2 linked regions of the Arabidopsis thaliana genome follow. The protein of the gene in region 1 interacts with the protein of each later gene in a pairwise test. Each region holds a gene or a part of one and is shown in the gene's direction. Other genes may lie near its edges.

Region 1 (3,759 bases):
GATTGTTTTTTTGAGTTTGGCGCTATTTTGGATCTGACATGGAGAGGGCTCGTACCTTACATAAATACCACCACCACCACCCCCCCCCCCCCTTTCAATAGCTATTGTTGTTTTAGATATATTGATACATCAATGTTTTGTTGTCTAAGTAAGGTATTTGCATTTTGGATTTCGATTCAGGACATTCTGGTTAGGCACGGTTTTGATTCATTTCATAATCGACTTGACACAAATTGCGTGGATGGTGCCGATTTTGTGACCTAAATACTAACATCAAATTTTGTGACCTAAAAGAAGTCTTATATATTTTGAAAGTTGCATTATCATCATTCCATTTCAAAGAAATAAAAAAGAAAGAAAATAAAATAATCAAACCCTTAAAAGAACTTACTCATTTCTTGCATATTACATATGAGTAGCAATTTGTATTGCCTTTCCACTAAGGATCTACCTCTTTTAGGCAACTGAAAATGTTGAATTTGATGGATCATAATCTTCATTGTACTTAGGGTGGTCAACTCATTTTAAAGTCAGTTCTGGTGTGATGTGTAATCTTTGTTTGGTTGGGCTTTTATAACTCGAGCAACGAGTTCATATTAATACGGTGCAGATTTTACATAGATTGTTACTATAACCCTAAATCCAATAAGGTGTATGACTCAACATGTTCAGCATCCTTAATGTTCTATTATTTGAAATGGTGGACGAGTATGCAATAATTGACGGAAAGAATAATGAGCTTTACTTCATGTAAGCATCAAAGATTCATAGGTCGATTTGATCCTTAAGAGATGAATAGAATGTCACTAGATTGTTGGTGATTAATAAAGATGATATTAGTTTGTACAAATCCATGAGAAACTGAGCGTACGTAATAATATGTTTGGTGATGAAAATAAAACAAAACAAATAAAACTAAGAACTTGTTTATAGCAAGAGGTTGGGAATTTTTGTGGTTTCTGTGTGATTTCGGTATGTTCTTGTAACAATAAGCATATTCCAAAATATGTATCCGGATGTAGTTGAAGATACAATAATATATAATTTTAACCAAAAAGAAAACTACAATTTTCATGATAAAATTAATATTTTATTGATTTTAATATATAAACATCTTATAATTAATTTAATGAATAAAATTTTATAAATTTTTATATCTATAATTTAGTTAATTCTTATTATATGTTTATTATTTCGTTCTAATTTCTAACCAAATATTAGTTTTTAATATTTGTTTTGATCTGTAGAATTATTTTATCGGAATTTTTGGAATAAATCGAAGCAATTAACAAATGAAACCATTGTTGTTAGTTGTTACACTATATGATTTTTTCGTTATAACCAAATATTTGTTTTTCTCTATAAAGTTTTGCTTATCAAAAAAATTTTGGAGAAAATTGAAGCAATTAACAAATTAAACCAGATTAAAAAATATATATATATACATATATATATATATCATTTTAAGTCTCTTGTAAGGTAATTTGATTGGTATATATATATACTAATGGACCAAAACCATACCAAAGAAATTAAACCAAACCTAATTACTCTAATTTCTATCCTTTGTCAGATATTTTCTCTCGTTGGGGTCAAAAACTCATAAAATAAAAAAGCAATTAACAAATCAAACCAGATTACAAATTATATATATATATATATATATATATATATATATATCATTTTAAGTCTATTGTAAGGTAATTTGATTGGTATATATATATACTAATGGACCAAAACCATACCAAAGAAATTAAACCAAACCTAATTACTCTAATTTCTATCCTTTGTCAGATATTTTCTCTCTTTGGGGTCAAAACTCATAAAATAAAAAAGCAATTATTGGTTGGCTGATAAACAATTACAAAGAAGTAAGATATATACCACACACCCCAAAAAAAAAAAACATTGAAGATATCGAACCATCCACTAATACAACGCCACGTCAACAAAAAGAGGATCCCACAATTTGCAGACTCCAAATAGCAAATGTAAAACCTTATCTCCAAACCTAATCTCATCACCTTCTCTTCCCTCCACTCAAATCTCTCCTCTCTTCTTTCTTCTTCTTCAATACAATACAATCAAAAGAACAGAGAGATAAGGTTAGAGCAAAACACTGTCTGAAACAAACAACAAAAAAATGGCTTGCTCTAATCTAACAACAATGTGGGTTTCATCAAAACCATCTCTTTCTGCTGATTCATCTTCCTTATCATTCCGATCTGTTCTCAAGTGCCCAACTAACACTTCCTCACCTCCTTCACGAGCTTCCTCTGTTTCACCACTCCAAGCGTCTCTTCGTGAGCTCAGAGACCGTATCGATTCAGTCAAAAACACTCAAAAGATCACCGAAGCTATGAAGCTTGTCGCTGCAGCTAAAGTCAGGAGAGCTCAAGAAGCTGTTGTCAATGGACGACCATTCTCAGAAACCCTAGTTGAAGTTCTTTACAACATCAACGAACAGCTTCAAACCGATGATGTCGATGTTCCCTTAACCAAAGTCAGACCGGTTAAGAAAGTAGCTCTCGTTGTCGTCACCGGTGATCGTGGATTATGTGGTGGATTCAACAATTTCATCATTAAGAAAGCAGAGGCAAGAATCAAAGAGCTTAAAGGTCTAGGTCTTGAATACACAGTCATTAGCGTGGGCAAGAAGGGAAATTCTTATTTCCTCCGTCGCCCGTACATCCCCGTCGACAAATACCTAGAAGCCGGAACTTTACCTACGGCTAAAGAAGCTCAAGCTGTGGCTGATGATGTCTTCTCTCTGTTTATAAGTGAAGAAGTCGACAAAGTCGAGCTCTTGTACACAAAGTTTGTCTCTTTGGTCAAATCAGAACCCGTGATCCACACGCTACTGCCTTTATCACCTAAAGGAGAGATCTGTGACATTAATGGAACCTGTGTGGATGCTGCGGAAGATGAGTTTTTCAGGTTAACGACAAAAGAAGGGAAATTGACAGTTGAAAGAGAGACTTTTAGGACACCAACAGCTGATTTCTCGCCGATCTTGCAATTCGAGCAAGACCCTGTTCAGATTCTTGATGCTTTGTTGCCTCTGTATCTTAACAGTCAGATTCTTAGGGCATTACAGGAGTCATTGGCTAGTGAGCTTGCAGCTAGAATGAGTGCAATGAGTAGTGCTTCGGATAATGCATCGGATCTCAAGAAATCGCTTTCGATGGTGTATAATAGAAAGCGTCAAGCTAAGATTACTGGAGAGATTCTTGAGATTGTTGCTGGAGCTAATGCACAGGTTTGATTTGTTTTGAACCCTCTTTGAATCTTCTATATGAGTCCAAAACTCTCTTCTTCTTCTTTTTTTTTCGTTATCGTTTGTATAATGTATAATTGATAATCTCTAGAACTCTTTATAATCATGCAATTACAAACAAAAACGCGGTTGTATCTATTTTGGCTTTTCATTGGATAAAATGATGGAGATCTTCGTTGAATATTTGTGGATGATGAAGAGTTTTTGTAGGATCCTTTGGAGGAATAAGATTTTGGTTTCTTTGGTTGTTAGTTGTGAATCCTTTTCCATTGTTGTTATGACTAAGGATCTTAGTTAGGGACAACATTGAATCCTTTTGTTCACCCCATCTTTCAAGATTTCATAAGACTTTTTTGAATACCTCTGACTGGATTTGGTAGTCTTTAAATGTACATCGGAAGATACAAGTCTCGAGTCGTGACTAACCAACACAGCTGCTCCTTTGAACCAACTTAGTGAATTCCCCAAGGCAGTTATAGTTG
Region 2 (3,759 bases), on another chromosome or scaffold:
GAGTCATTGTCATTGAAACTAGGATGATTCGGATCGATCCCAGTATCGATAAAACCGATTATAACTCCTTCTCCAGCAATCTCAAATCCACCTTCTTTGACCCATGCTCCTTGTGGTAAACCCATAAACTGTGGAGTATAAGTTGTTGCTGTCCTAACAGAGTAATCCAACACTATGTTTGCTACTTCTTTTCTCATTGAAAGCTTCTCAGCCTTAAAAAAAGAAAAACCATAACACAAAAAAATCAAGATCAAGAACTCAAGATTATTTCTACAATTATCAATAACTCAAGATTTTTACCTGTTGTGAGTTAATAAACAGAGCAAATCCATTGATAAGATAATGGTAACTATAAAGCTTTATATACTTCTCTCCTTTTAGAGTCTTTCTCAAGAAAGAGTCATGAGATTGAACAACAGATGGTATCTTTGACTTCCCATGACGTTTCCTTGAATTGTTCCTATAATAAAAACGCAGAATACAAAAAGGGTTTAACTAAAGCTTCACAGAGAATCTAATGACAACAAAAAGAATAGAATTTTATCAGTACCTTGGTCGCAATTTTGGTGTAAACTTTGACTTTTTGTGTTTAAGCTCTTGTTCTTCAAAGAGATGGACAATAGGAGGTTGTTTAAGTGTGACAATGTACACAGCAGAATCATCATCATCGTCTTGTTGTTGTCCCAAAGTGTTATTAGACAAAAACACAAAAGAGATCATAAGTAATAAAAACCCAAACCTCACCAACATTACTCTAACCATTTTTTTCGTCTCCCTTCTAAATTAAGAAAGTGGGAAAAAAGGGTTTTTGATTTAACACTTTCCACTAGGTTTTATACAGAGAATGAATGAGTCATGAAAGCACTTAAAACCCCACCTAAAACAATGATAATTTAAGGAAAAGAAAGAAAGCTGCAAAAGAAGAAGAACCCATTAAATCATATTCATGGTGAACAAGTGGAATTGACACCTTTTTGGTGTAAGGAGGTCGGTGAAAGAAGAGTGCGTATTTATATAATATTGTATATATGTAATATAGAGATAGATAGATATTAGGAAGAACTGAATAATCTCACGAGAAAATATATGAAACTGTTTTTTATTGGATATTGAAAAATTGTGAGCCAAATTGAGTGGTTACGAAGAATTTGGTTCCCACATGTGCTTAAAGTAGAGGAGAAAGGAAGCAAGGAACACTCATAAGTGCGATCAAACTTAAATGACTCTCCTTTTTGTTTTCTTTCAATTATTTATTTTTTTCCTCGTTGGATCGTCAATACTAATAAGATATCCAAAATGATACAAGATAGGGTTTTGATTCCCAAAAAGTGTAGATTCTTGCCAATTAGTGGATGTATACTTAATGAAAGGTTGTAGAATGTGGCACGTAGAGTTATTCGTTTTCATGGAGAACATGTTCATCTAGAGAATGTCGTATTTGTAGAACCGTTTGAGAAAAACATTTTCATCAAAATATATCGTATATGCATAACCGTCCATTGTGGATTTTAATGTTGCAGAGAACTGTATCGTAAAATTGATAGGTACTGTTTATCGTAATCATAAATGTGATATATAGTTTTAATACGTCACAAATGTGATATGTAGTGTCAGTCTACACCATTTGGCGAGAACAAAATGGTAGAAGACATGGGGAGAATTCTAATACGACAGACAGCTCGACTAATTCGTTGGATTGATAAGCAAACCTGAAACACTCTTTCCTTTATCAGACTTTAGGAGATAGGAGATATCATAGAGGACTCTAAATGTGGTTTGCCTCTAGAAGTTAAAAATTTATTTAATTTTTCAAATTTCAGTTTTTTCTCAAATTCAAATTTTGTCGTACTTGTTGTAAAAACCGATGTTTTTTTTCTAATATAATTTAACATTAGATTAAAAAAAAACGGATTAGCTCAAAGACCATAAAATAAAATTTAAGGATATAGTTAGAATTTAAAATTTAGGTTTAAAAATTCAAAAATAATATTTGGAACTTAGTAATTTATGTGTTGCTTTAAAATTATAAAATTATATGAAAATAAATATTTAATATATATTTTATCATTTTTTTTGGAACAAAATATATATAATTTAGCCTATTTTCGTAATTCTCCAAAAAGAAAATGGTCGTGTAATATCGTCGTAGTTCGTACTCCACATGCACCACAAAACTGATCGGGAGATAAGAGCGGTAAAAACCACCGAGTCACGACTCAGTGACTCAAATCGTTCTTCCCACACAAAAAAAATGGTTACTGCGACAGCATCAACTCCATTTTCACTCTCGTCGTCCGTGGTTTTCACGCGCCGTCGTAATTTCAAACGTTTTCCAGTTTGCGCCAGTCTTTCTCCGGAGGTTTCTCCTCTTCTCAGAGCAGCTCATCACACTGTAAGGGTTAAATCGGGAAAATTGAATCCTTGAAACTCAATTTCAAATGGGTATTGTTTGAAATTGTGTTGAAAATTCATAAAATTGAAGAAAGATTGATACTTGATTACAAAACTTTTGTCTGGTAATGTTTTCAGGTGGATAATTATGTAAAGAGTGGGATGATTATTGGTTTAGGATCTGGAGAAGCTTCAGATTTTGCTATACGTTATTTGGGTCAACAACTTGGTTCTGGTTCTTTACATAATGTTGTTGGTGTACCAATGTAAGTCTTTTGCTTCTCTCTCTGATGTTTATCTACTATGAATCCAATAAAAAATCAATCTTTTGTTTGTTCAGTTGTTGAATTTCCCTATTCATTAGTTCTTCGATAATGATTTTGTTGTTGGTGTACCAATGTGAGTCTTTTGATTCTGATTCTGCTGCTGGTTATCTTCTATGACTCCAAATAAAGTATCAATCTTTTTGTTTGTTCAGTTGTTGATCTCTCTATATTCAATCTTTTATGTTACGAGTTGAGTTTTGATAGGCTTCATGATGATTTGTCCTGACCCTTTTTCAGGTCTGCTCGAAGTGCGAGTGAAGCAGCAAAGTATGGAATCCCCTTGGAATATTACCGGGATGGTGTTCAGGTAGCTGCTTCTCTGTGTTTTCTAAAGCGGTTTGATCTATTTCTGCATCTAGGGGTAATGTTTGCAGTGTGACACTTTTGTAGATTGATTTTGCATTTCATGATGCTGATGCTGTAGAAGAGAATACGCTTATTGCAGTTATTGGACGGCGGAGAAGTTCACAGGAAGATGACTATATTCTGAAACAAAAGGTGTATGCAGTTTCGTGTACTTTTTGCAGTCTTTGAATACTCATTGCTTAGCTTTGGGCTGACAAAAGAGAGATTTTACAATACAGTCTATTGTAAAAGTAGCTGATGAGGCAGTCTTCATGATAAAGGAAGAACAATACAAAGCCGGTCTTGAAGGTTCTATCCCTGTTTTAGTTCAATCTGTAAGTAAATTTCTACTGATGAACTTCGTTTTAATCCCTTGGTGATATGATTCAAAACTTTTATTCCTTGAACTTTGATTGCAGCTTAATTGGTTGGCCATAGCTGAGGAGATAGATGACTTGTATCTAGGCGATGCAGAGGTGTGAATCTGCTTCTTTCATAAATGCTTTCTCGGGCTTTTGGTTCTATCGATTGTGTCAAGCCTTGTTTGAGTCATTGTATTTTACTTGGTGGAAAAGGTGTGGAGAAGAGCTTCTGTTGAAAATGAAGGCCCTCTTGGAGGAGACTTTCCTATAGTTACCAGTGATGGTCACAACATTCTTGATGTTATATTTACAACTCCGATTCGAAGCCTCGGTAA

What was found. Proteins that work in one complex are often made in the same cells at the same time.
Region 2: the proteins of ATPC1 (region 1) and AT5G44520 interact in a two-hybrid assay, tested with the Arabidopsis thaliana proteins (one large-scale study listed by BioGRID).

Annotation. Positions count from the first base shown.
Region 1 is NC_003075.7:2,350,267-2,354,025, reverse strand, and holds ATPC1 (ATPase, F1 complex, gamma subunit protein), read left to right. Parts: upstream 1-2,007; 5' UTR 2,008-2,143; coding exon 2,144-3,265; 3' UTR 3,266-3,528; downstream 3,529-3,759. Other genes in the region: AT4G04650 (RNA-directed DNA polymerase (reverse transcriptase)-related family protein), read left to right, coding at 1-37. UniProt on the Arabidopsis thaliana protein: Produces ATP from ADP in the presence of a proton gradient across the membrane. The gamma chain is believed to be important in regulating ATPase activity and the flow of protons through the CF(0) complex.
Region 2 is NC_003076.8:17,934,934-17,938,692, reverse strand, and holds the start of AT5G44520 (NagB/RpiA/CoA transferase-like superfamily protein), read left to right. Parts: upstream 1-2,138; 5' UTR 2,139-2,161; coding exon 2,162-2,392; intron 2,393-2,529; coding exon 2,530-2,657; intron 2,658-2,954; coding exon 2,955-3,024; intron 3,025-3,107; coding exon 3,108-3,215; intron 3,216-3,301; coding exon 3,302-3,397; intron 3,398-3,481; coding exon 3,482-3,538; intron 3,539-3,637; coding exon 3,638-3,755; intron 3,756-3,759. Other genes in the region: AT5G44530 (Subtilase family protein), read right to left, coding at 1-212, 301-460, 551-762.